Arabidopsis thaliana: one gene and its partners. The protein of the gene in region 1 purifies or fractionates together with the protein of each later gene. This does not show direct contact. Each region holds a gene or a part of one and is shown on either strand. Other genes may lie near its edges.

Region 1 (3,753 bases):
ATTCTGTTACGTACTTTGGTCAAAAAAACGCTCTCATGTGCCCCAACCTCCACAACCACCATTTTTTTTGGTTTTCAAAACATTTGTTGGTCCTTTATGTTTGCTTATTTATCAATGGAACTCACAAATCACAATTAGTATTTTCGAATTTTATAATCTTTGAAAACCAAAAACATTACTTTTAAGTACACAATTGAAATTCATAGCTAAATAGTTAACATTACTGCTGCAACTCTATATTAATTGTAGAGTTATGGAAAAACAAAAGTACAAACTAAAATAAAGTTCGTTAAACTAGAATTTTACCCCGGAAAATCCACTATTTTTATGATATCTCCTTTACCGGAGTTACACAAATACACTAACCATATGTCTATAGTAATCTTTGTCACATATCAACTCAACCCACTAAAATATAATTCTATCCTCTCTGGTTTGTGTCGTATCATTTATCAACCCTAGTTAGATCAATAATCTCATAATTCCCCAATGCGAGGGCATCATTAGGATTGTTTATCAGTACCATCACATCATCTTTTTCTTGCTCTTGAGTAACGTCACAATCTTCTTGACGTTGTTGTTGTTGTTGTTGTTGTTGTTGTTGTTGAGTAACTTCGCGAGATTATTCTCCATCTAGCATCATCGTCTCAAGGTCATCATTAGCAAAACCGGTTAATTCAGCCTCTTCTGGCTGCTCACGATCTTCATGTCCCTCTAGCATCGTCTCAAGGCTATCAGCAAAACCGGTTAAATCAGCATCTTCTGGCTGCTCATGATCTTCTTGTCCCTCTAGCATCGTCTCAAGGCTATCAGCAAAACCGGTTAAATCAGCCTCTTCTTTCTGCTCACGGTCTTCTTGTCCCTCTAGCATCATCTCAAGCTGATCAGCAAAACCGGTTAAAGCATCCTCTTCTTACACTACTTGGTTCCGTAAGATGTTGTTGGTGTTCTCCGCCACCTGAGTCTGATGAGCCTGATGGTTAACGAGTCCAAACTCGTTGACGTTCGCCTCTTTCTTGTATCGGATCCGACACAAGACAACCTTTTGGAGGTCATCACTCTAGTGAAGAGAATACTCCATCTTCTGTCAATCGGTCTTGACAAGCTTTCCATGCACTCTCCTGTGGTACGTGAAAGACTGCTCGTAACCCATCACCCTTTTGCATGTGTCCGTCCTTGATCTCTTTTTTCCCATCGTTGCTTCTCCAAGTGCCGCCTTCGCTTCCTCCTCTTGCGGCTACCTTCCGGTGTACGCTTAATATCTTGCCACCTCGTTCAGTAAGCGGAACAAAGTAGTACCACTCGTTGTTATTGAACAAAGGATTGTTTACGTGAGGAAGAAGCCAAGGGTAGTCTTGGTGGATGTCCATAGTTGTTATGAAACTGCTCTGATTTCTCTCCACCTTGTTTCGAAGATAAAGCCTCACCAACCCTAGATCCGTCGGACAAAACCGTGATCCAACCGGAAGAATCTTCATATCGATCGTATAGATTCGAAGAAGAACTAGCTAAGGTACCTATATAATTGCTAAGGTTAAAAGTGCTCTTTCGTCTCTTGTGTAATACTGCTCTGTGAAGCAGGGTTTTCTTGAATTCCTCGCAGGTCAAGCGGCTGAACTCTCTATATGATCATGAATATATAGACAACGTGATGGGCCCAACCGGATTTTCTTTTGTCAGCGATTAACTATTTTTTGGAAAGAATAAGACGGTTGTAATTACATCTATTTGGTTATTTGAAATAATAATTAGATAGGATTCGAATCTATAATACACTTTTGTTTTGTTTATCACAGATTCTAACGATAGATAAAGATATATTACATGACCATGATTTATCCACATCAAAATAGCATAGTGCCGTAAACCGGCTAATCGTTTTGGGCCTAATTTGGGCAATTAAGCCCGTTAAGAAGGATAAGAGCCTATTGTGTATCAATATCTTCGGTTCGACCAAATTAAACCGCAATTTTAATTTCGTGTCTGGTTTGGTTTCGGCTAAATAATTCAGAAGTGGTTTAGTCTGAGAAGACTGGAACTGTGTTTTCTTTTACCTTGAGCTGTTAAATAAAAAGGAAGAGCGGTCAAAATCAGTGGACGACGAAGACTTCTTATCATTTAATATCTCTCCATCATCATCTTCTTCTTCAGCATCAAATCCAAATTCGGATCAAACATGGCTTCTCACTCGTCGACTCTCCTCTCTTCTCCTACTTTCGCTCCTTTCTCCTCTCATCGTCTTCATTATTCTCCCAATCCCTCTACTCTCAGATTCTCCCGTCCAATCAGAAATAAACCTAATCTCGCCTTGCGATGTTCAGTCTCAATTGAGAAAGAAGTTCCCGAAACTGAACGACCCTTTACTTTCCTTAGGGATTCTGATGACGTCACTCCATCTTCTTCTTCTTCTTCCGTCAGGGCTCGTTTCGAGACTATGATTAGGGCTGCTCAAGACAGTGTTTGTGATGCAATTGAAGCTATAGAAGGCGGTCCTAAGTTTAAAGAAGATGTTTGGTCTCGACCTGGTGGTGGCGGTGGAATCAGTCGTGTGTTGCAGGACGGGAATGTCTTTGAGAAAGCTGGTGTTAATGTCTCTGTGGTTTATGGTGTTATGCCTCCTGAAGCTTATAGAGCTGCAAAGGGCTCAGCTTCTGATCAGAAACCTGGTCCTGTTCCGTTCTTCGCTGCTGGAGTCAGCTCGGTAATGAATCTCTCCCTTCAATTTTACGATTCTTGGAGGTTCTCATGTTTTATCATTACGGATTTCTGTGTGATTCTAGGTTTTGCATCCCAAGAACCCTTTTGCCCCAACCCTGCATTTCAATTATCGCTATTTCGAGACAGATGCTCCAAAGGGTAAAAAAGCTAAAGTCTCAGTGAGATTGTAAAGTTGTTGTCTTTTGTTTGGACAACAGTCTTAAGTTTTTAATTTTCAACGGCGCAGATGTTCCTGGAGCTCCAAGGCAATGGTGGTTTGGTGGTGGCACTGATTTCACTCCTGCTTACATCTTTGAAGAAGATGTCAAGCATTTCCATTCGGTACTGAGCCTTATTCCTTGTTCTAAAGATATGAGCTTTGTGATCATGGAGTTGCTTTTATATAAACTGCTCTTTGTTGTTGTAGATTCAAAAGCAAGCCTGTGACAAATTTGACCCTTCCTTCTATCCCCGATTCAAGAAGTGGTGTGATGACTACTTTTACATCAAGGTAAGTTTTGTGAGATCCTGAAGCATTTTCTGGAACTGAGGGCCTTATTCTTTGAGTTGTGTTTAGGGATGTTATAGTCAAATCTGAGAGGGTAGAAACTGCTTAGAGAGACGTTCAGAAGCCTATTGTTAGTGTGAGGGCTTTGAAAACTTTTCTTAGAAATCTTTGATTTTGCTTGCAGCACCGTGATGAGAGACGAGGACTTGGAGGGATATTTTTTGATGATCTTAATGACTATGATCAGGAAATGCTTCTGTCATTTGCCACTGGTAAGGGACTGATTGTCCTCAATCTACAACAAACGATTTATTTTAATTGGTCTAGTTTCTTGGTAGACTAATTTAGCAATTGGTGTTTACAGAATGCGCAAACTCAGTGGTGCCGGCTTATATACCTATAGTAGAGAAAAGGAAAGACATGGAATTTACAGAGCAGCACAAGGCATGGCAACAGTTGCGACGAGGGCGATATGTCGAATTCAACTTGGTACTATGACCAAAACATTAGTCTTTTTCTCTGTTCTCACTCTCATCTCTCCAATCTTT
Region 2 (3,753 bases), on another chromosome or scaffold:
AGCTCGTAAACCCGGCCTCAAACTGAGACGGTGCAAAGTAAACACCTTCTTCCAACATTCCCCTGAAAAACCTACCAAACTTCTCTGTGTCGCTCTTCTTTGAGTCTGCAAAGTTGTAAACCGGTCCTTCTGCGAAAAAGAATCCAAACATACCGCTTATGTAACCCCCGCACATTGGATGCCCGGTTTTCTTTCCGGCTTCTAAGATTCCGTTGGTTAGTTCCTTCGTGATCTTGTCTAAATACTCATATGTTCCTGCCTGCTTTAGCCGCTTCAGCGTGTGAATCCCTGCAGTCATTGCCAGCGGATTACCACTTAGAGTCCCGGCTTGGTACATTGGTCCAGCGGGAGCAACCTACAAAAAAAAAAAAAGAATAGCAACATTGGTACATGGCCACCCCTAGTTTTGAAGCTTGTTAAAGGTCTAGAGCCAGATCTTACCATCTCCATAATATCACGTCTACCACCGTATGCTCCCACGGGAAGACCCCCACCAATAATTTTACCAAGAGTAGTTAGATCAGGCGTGATTCCAAAGTATTCTTGGGCTCCACCATAGGCTAGACGAAATCCAGTCATGACTTCATCGAAGATGAGAAGAACACCATTGTCTTTAGTAAGCTGGCGTAAACCGTTGATGAATTCCGGAGTAGGAGGGATGAATCCGGAGTTACCAACAACAGGTTCGAGAATTACCGCAGAAATCTCCCCTTTATGCGCAGCAAAGAGCTTCTCAACAGCTTCAAGATCATTGTACGGAGCTGTTAAAGTATCTGAAGTAGCTGCTTTAGGGACACCTGGAGAGTCCGGTAGCCCCAAAGTGGCAACACCACTACCAGCTTTAACAAGGAAGGCGTTAGCATGACCGTGATAACACCCTTCAAACTTAATGAACTTCTCTTTGTTAGTGAAAGCTCTGGCAAGACGAAGCACACCCATACACGCTTCAGTACCAGAATTAACAAACCGAACCATTTCAATGCTGGGAACAGCTGATATAACCATCTCAGCTAAAACATTCTCCAAGAGACAAGGAGCACCAAAGCTTGTTCCTTTCTTCATCGTCTCAGCTAGAGCCGCAAGAACCTCGTCATCAGCATGGCCAATAATAGCAGGTCCCCAAGAGCCAACGTAGTCAATATACTCATTTCCATCAATGTCCCACATTTTTGAGCCTTTAACAGAATCAATCAAAACAGGTTGTCCACCAACGGATTTGAATGCTCGAACAGGGGAATTCACACCTCCAGGCATTAGATTCTATCATGAAAAAGACACCATTTGTTCAACATTCAGAATCACATTTCTATGCGCAAAACAGAGGCATGATTCAGTCAAGTCCATCAAAATCTGATCTTTTCCGAAAATTTTCAACCAGAATCAAAAAGTATCGGTGGGACGAAATCAATTTACCTTAGCAGCATTGAAAGCTTCCTCAGATTTCTGAAGACTGAAACTTTTCTTCTTCTCGTCGACGGAAACAGACATCTTGATGCAGCATCGGTTAGAAGCTGGTGAAGAAGAAACTCTTTTCGAGATCTTCGAGGAACACGAAAACCCCAAAGCAGTTCCCGATCCTGTAAGCGTCGCCGACATCTTTGATCTGAAACTCGCTGTCTCTGGCGGTCGGAGTTGGTAATCGAAGTGGGTGGGCTTATGATTGAAGAAGAGTCAACAAGATAAGGCGATGGCCAACCACCGGGTTTTTATTTGTCAAATCCGGGTGGATCCGACCCGAATACGAAAGTCAAGTCAAATATTTTAATTTATTTTAAAATATTGGGTTAAATTGATTTATGATACGTTTAAATTTGGTGCTTTTCAAAAGCATGGAATTTGTGTGAAATTTAAAAATTGTTACTCAAATACGATCGAATATAAAGCTTTACTATTTTGGTTTATGTAAAAATAATCTTACAAATGATTTTTTTCTTTTAACCATAAAATTTCAGAATTTAGACAAATCGTTGATCAAAAAAAGACAATTCTAACGATTTAATTTTCGTGATAATATTTTTGCTATGTGTGATAAGTTTATTTTGTAAGGTGTGACTTGTAGGTTGTAATTGATCTCTATGTCAGAAAAAGTATTGTAAGAAGAAAATCAAAGATTTGAGCTCTTACCAAACAACATTTTAGTAAACACAATAGCTTTCTTTATTAAACTTGATACTTTAACATCTTAGTTACATTTTTGCTCCACCGACGAACAATATTTCATACGACCACAAACACGTAATTGATATATCATCATTATTTGCTTTTTAAATCATAGTTAATTTAAATTCAAACATTAAACCATAAATAATTTTAATGATTCATATATCCATAATCCCTTGGAACACTTTCATAGCCGAGCCAGGAAGTCCAAGCAGCACATTGATACTCTTCGTGTCACTACCACATGGCAGAAACAGAATCACTTCCTTCTCAGGTAAACCGACCGGTCCAGATACAACCGGTTCACCCCAACCGAAATCCTTAGTATGAAACGACAGTTTTGCCCACGACGTGATCAGAAGTGTTGCCGTTAGGCTCGGCCTAGCTCGAGTCACCTCAAAGTAATCAATCGCTGACCTCATGAAACCGTCGTTGACCATTTCAACGGCTCTTTTGACCAAACACACTGAATGAGAAAGAGGGTTTAAAGTCACTTCACCTGCCGTTGTAACGCAATAAGTGAACACAATCCCGTTACCGGAATATCCTTTAGGAAGTTCCGGAACGAATCTCGACCTTCCATCTGCAGCAAAGAGAAGCTTGATCCGTTGATCAGGTTTAAGCCCTAAGGCTTGACAACGAGCTCTCCACAGAAACCCGGTTAGGGTTTGAAAAGTCGTGGATCTCGTCTCTGCCATGATCTTAAGCCTCTCGAGTTTTTCGGGTCCGAAGAGGAAGGATTTGTAGACGAGTTTCTCGTCGGAGTAGAGTTTTCCGGTGCCGGAGATGTCTTCGAGGTCCTCGAACTCGTTGTGTGGGAATTCGATCTTTGGTGGGGTTCGTGGTCGGAGAAGTGTGCGGTCCAAGAAAGGTGGAACGGAGAGAGGAAGGCCACGAGCCGTCTCGGCCCAAGAGTTGAGGAACTCCATGGCTGCGATACCATCGAACATATTGTGGTTCATGCCTAGTCCTAGCACGAACCCTCCACACTTGAAATTTGTCACCTAACAAACAAACCAAAATTTGTATGGAAGCATCGTATACAATGTATTCGATCAACTAAAAATGCATGATTTCTTCAATCGTATTTACTCGAATGTACTGCCCAAAAAAAAACGAGTATGTCCAAAATTTATTTTGTCGACAATCACACAACAATCTTGGAAAAACGTCAATTAGGATATGTTCCAATATAAATACTTTTGAATTAAAAGTTATGAAATTTATGTATTTTGTAGTGAATAATAGTATGGATCTTTTTCTTTCTTACTAATTAGCGTATTTATACGTACATGCATAATTAAAAAATCAATATTAATCTAATTCTACTATATAATATAGTTATTTGAAACCAATATCGGACCAAATCCAGTATAGGTCATGTTCGTTCACTCACACAAAACAGCAAGCAAAACATAATATCAATCGATCAACCCCTCACCTGAACAACCACTGGAGGAATCTCGAGAATATTCCGAGCACCGGGAACGTCGTAAACCAACTTTTCAAGAGTCTCTGGTTGATCAATCTCCGATATAGCCTTCTTTATCTTCTCTATCCCACAATTGGCCTCAGCTTCCACCACTACAACTC
Region 3 (3,753 bases), on another chromosome or scaffold:
TCTGCGATTTTGAGGTCAAGGTGGGTCTGTGATTTTGAGATAATGAAATCGATTTGGGGATTTAGGGTTTAAATTTGTTTCAAGACAAAACGACGATGTTTTGTCTCTGCAATAAACGACGTTGTTTTGTTCTAACAGAGCAAATAAACGAGACATTAACGCCGTAAATTTTTTCTGTTAACCTATTTAACGACATGACTCAAATGGCAAGTCAACAAACACTTTGTCATTTATTTCGAAAGTCAACAAAAACTTTACGATTTATTTATCTTCCGTGAAGTTCAAAATTAAATCGTCCCAAATTTGAAAGACATTTTTCCCGAATATCATTTATGAATTATGATACAATGTTACTAAAAAAATCATTTTTATGTCTCATGCATGTAGTAACGAACACACACTAATATAGTAACAAATGATCAGACGTTACTCTTAAAAACTAGAGTGGTCATCATGTTCAAACTTTAAGGTACATTAGACCATCTAATTAGAACCATGCGTAATTAGTATTGTTAAGTAACCAAAAGAAATAACGACGATCAATAGTAAGTTTTTTTTTTTTGTGTGTGTAACCAATAGGTAGTACTTAAGTTAAATGTATATTATTTCATTCCTATTTCTTTAAATTGGTATCGATTCATTCTAAAATGTTGCATGGATTTTTTTTAACATCTTTAGATAAAGTTTTATGTTCCGTTTTTTTTTTCAGGTGACAAATTTCAAATGTGGGGGTTTTGTCCTAGGACTAGGCATGAGCCACAACATGTTCGATGGAGTCGCCGCTGCGGAGTTCCTCAACTCGTGGTGCGAGATGGCCAAGGGTCTTCCTTTATCCGTCCCACCATTCTTGGACCGTACGATTCTCCGGTCACGAAACCCTCCCAAAATCGAGTTCCCACACAATGAATTCGACGAAATTGAAGATATTTCCGACACCGGAAAAATCTACGATGAAGAAAAACTCATCTACAAATCATTTCTTTTCGAACCCGAAAAGCTTGAGAAGCTCAAGATCATGGCGATTGAAGAAAATAACAATAATAAGGTATCAACATTTCAAGCCTTAACCGGGTTTCTTTGGAAATCAAGATGCGAAGCTCTACGGTTTAAACCGGACCAACGGGTTAAGCTTCTGTTTGCGGCGGATGGACGGTCAAGATTCATCCCACGTCTCCCGCAAGGATATTGCGGGAACGGGATTGTGTTAACCGGTTTGGTGACATCATCGGGAGAATTAGTTGGGAACCCTCTTTCTCACTCGGTGGGTTTGGTCAAGAGACTGGTGGAGCTGGTTACGGACGGCTTCATGCGGTCGGCTATGGACTACTTCGAGGTGAACCGGACACGGCCGAGTATGAACGCGACACTTTTGATTACATCCTGGTCAAAATTGACATTGCATAAACTGGATTTCGGTTGGGGAGAACCGGTTTTCTCTGGACCGGTTGGTTTACCAGGGAGGGAAGTGATCTTGTTCTTACCAAGTGGTGATGATATGAAGAGTATCAATGTGTTTCTTGGCCTTCCTACTTCAGCTATGGAAGTGTTTGAAGAGCTTATGAAGATCTGAAAAAGAACATACATTTTCATAATCAAATTATGATATATTCTACCAAATTATAAGCAAAGGAAAATTATAATCTAGTCATTATTTATACATGTTATATTTGAATTCACGTTTGTATCCATTACAAAAATTTATGTAATTCGCAGAAAATATATATATGTCAAATTAAGTTATCGGACCGGATCGGGTCAAAGAAACCGGATTGGTTAACAAAGTCAAACAAACAAATATTGACTTGAGTTTCAGATTCCAGTAAAATCAAACCGGATCGGGTCTGAATTTAAACCACCGGGTCGGCTCCATCTAAAATCTGAAGATCATCTCCGCCTTATCTTGTTGACTATCTCTGTACTACTTACGAGCGCAAGTGAGAGAGTAACAGAGAAACGTAGAGATATAGCAAAATGGCTGCGACGCTTACTGGATCAGGGATTGCTCTAGGGTTTTCGTGCTCCGCAAAGTTCTCTAAGAGAGCTTCTTCGTCGTCCAACCGTCGCTGCATCAAGATGTCGGTTTCGGTAGAGGAGAAGACGAAGAAATTCACTCTTCAGAAATCTGAGGAAGCTTTCAATGCTGCGAAGGTTAGGCTTTTCAATTTCCATGAATTCAGTCAATAAGAAATGTTTCTTCAGATTGATTACGCCTTGATGTTCTGTTGCTTTGGTTTTGTGGGATTTGATCATATTTTTGGTTAAAGTGATTATCTTTGTTACCCTTCAAGGAACATTGCTAACAAAATAAGATTACTTGAGATAGAATCATAATCTGAGATAAAGTTTTTGTTTTTATTGGTTTCATTCTGTTCTGATTATTGAAATTGGTTTGGTTCCTTTGTGTAGAACTTAATGCCTGGAGGTGTGAACTCACCTGTACGTGCTTTCAAATCTGTTGGTGGACAACCAGTGGTGATGGATTCTGCAAAGGGCTCACGAATAAGAGACATTGATGGAAATGAATACATTGACTATGTTGGATCTTGGGGACCTGCTATAATTGGTCATGCTGATGATGAGGTTTGTTTCTTTCCAGTTTTGATGATTTTTAGATAGCTGAAAGTTTAGTAGTTGATACGGTGATGTGTCTAGTGCAGGTTCTTGCTGCTTTGGCTGAGACAATGAAGAAAGGAACAAGCTTTGGTGCTCCTTGTCTCTTAGAGAATGTTCTTGCTGAGATGGTGATTTCAGCTGTTCCAAGTATTGAAATGGTTCGGTTTGTTAACTCCGGTACAGAGGCATGTATGGGTGTGCTACGTCTTGCTCGTGCCTTCACAGGGAAACAAAAGTTCATCAAGTTTGAAGGTTGTTATCATGGTCATGCAAACTCTTTCCTTGTCAAAGCAGGTAGTGGTGTAGCTACTTTGGGTCTACCTGACTCGCCTGGGGTCCCCAAAGCAGCTACTTCAGATACTTTAACAGCTCCATACAATGATATTGCTGCTGTTGAGAAGCTTTTTGAGGCAAACAAAGGAGAGATTGCTGCCATCATTCTTGAACCTGTTGTTGGTAACTCGGGTTTTATTACACCTAAACCAGAGTTCATTGAGGGAATACGCCGGATCACTAAAGACAATGGTGCTCTTCTTATTTTCGATGAAGTCATGACTGGTTTTCGTTTAGCCTATGGTGGAGCTCAAGAATACTTTGGAATCACACCTGACTTAACAACTCTTGGGAAAATCATCGGTGGTGGTCTTCCTGTGGGAGCATACGGTGGAAGAAGAGACATCATGGAAATGGTAAAGCTAGAGTTGTTAACAATTGAACCGAATAATCTTTTGAATTTGCTGCAAGAGATTGAGAAAGTCCTGATCCTTTATCACTCATGTCTTTTTGCAGGTTGCACCCGCAGGACCGATGTATCAAGCTGGTACGCTAAGTGGTAATCCGTTGGCTATGACAGCGGGTATACACACGCTGAAGCGGTTAAGTCAGCCAGGGACATATGAATACTTAGACAAGATCACAAAAGAGCTTACAAATGGGATACTAGAAGCCGGGAAGAAAACCGGGCATGCGATGTGTGGCGGTTACATAAGCGGGATGTTCGGTTTCTTCTTCACGGAAGGACCCGTCTATGATTTCTCGGATGCAAAGAAGAGTGATACAGAGAAGTTTGGAAAGTTTTTCAGAGGAATGTTGGAAGAAGGTGTCTACTTGGCACCTTCTCAATTCGAGGCCGGTTTTACT

Evidence for each region.
Region 2: the proteins of LIN2 (region 1) and GSA1 fractionate together in Arabidopsis thaliana (co-fractionation; one large-scale study listed by BioGRID). This does not show direct contact.
Region 3: the proteins of LIN2 (region 1) and GSA2 fractionate together in Arabidopsis thaliana (co-fractionation; one large-scale study listed by BioGRID). This does not show direct contact.

What each region holds. Positions count from the first base shown.
Region 1 is NC_003070.9:869,599-873,351, reverse strand, and holds the start of LIN2 (Coproporphyrinogen III oxidase), read left to right. Parts: upstream 1-2,043; 5' UTR 2,044-2,176; coding exon 2,177-2,701; intron 2,702-2,780; coding exon 2,781-2,856; intron 2,857-2,944; coding exon 2,945-3,039; intron 3,040-3,124; coding exon 3,125-3,208; intron 3,209-3,389; coding exon 3,390-3,477; intron 3,478-3,569; coding exon 3,570-3,694; intron 3,695-3,753. Other genes in the region: NAC006 (NAC domain containing protein 6), read right to left, coding at 446-612, 670-907, 959-1,060, 1,140-1,478. UniProt on the Arabidopsis thaliana protein: Key enzyme in heme biosynthesis. Catalyzes the oxidative decarboxylation of propionic acid side chains of rings A and B of coproporphyrinogen III.
Region 2 is NC_003076.8:25,449,800-25,453,552, reverse strand, and holds the start of GSA1 (glutamate-1-semialdehyde-2,1-aminomutase), read right to left. Parts: upstream 1,754-3,753; 5' UTR 1,597-1,753; coding exon 1,414-1,596; exon of another isoform or gene 1,261-1,413; coding exon 442-1,260; intron 356-441; coding exon 1-355. Other genes in the region: FACT (HXXXD-type acyl-transferase family protein), read right to left, coding at 2,319-3,164, 3,602-3,753. UniProt on the Arabidopsis thaliana protein: Transaminase converting glutamate 1-semialdehyde (GSA) to 5-aminolevulinate (ALA). Involved in the biosynthesis of tetrapyrroles.
Region 3 is NC_003074.8:18,047,726-18,051,478, forward strand, and holds the start of GSA2 (glutamate-1-semialdehyde 2,1-aminomutase 2), read left to right. Parts: upstream 1-1,845; 5' UTR 1,846-1,971; coding exon 1,972-2,148; intron 2,149-2,406; coding exon 2,407-2,580; intron 2,581-2,657; coding exon 2,658-3,302; intron 3,303-3,402; coding exon 3,403-3,753. Other genes in the region: DCF (HXXXD-type acyl-transferase family protein), read left to right, coding at 710-1,570. UniProt on the Arabidopsis thaliana protein: Transaminase converting glutamate 1-semialdehyde (GSA) to 5-aminolevulinate (ALA). Involved in the biosynthesis of tetrapyrroles.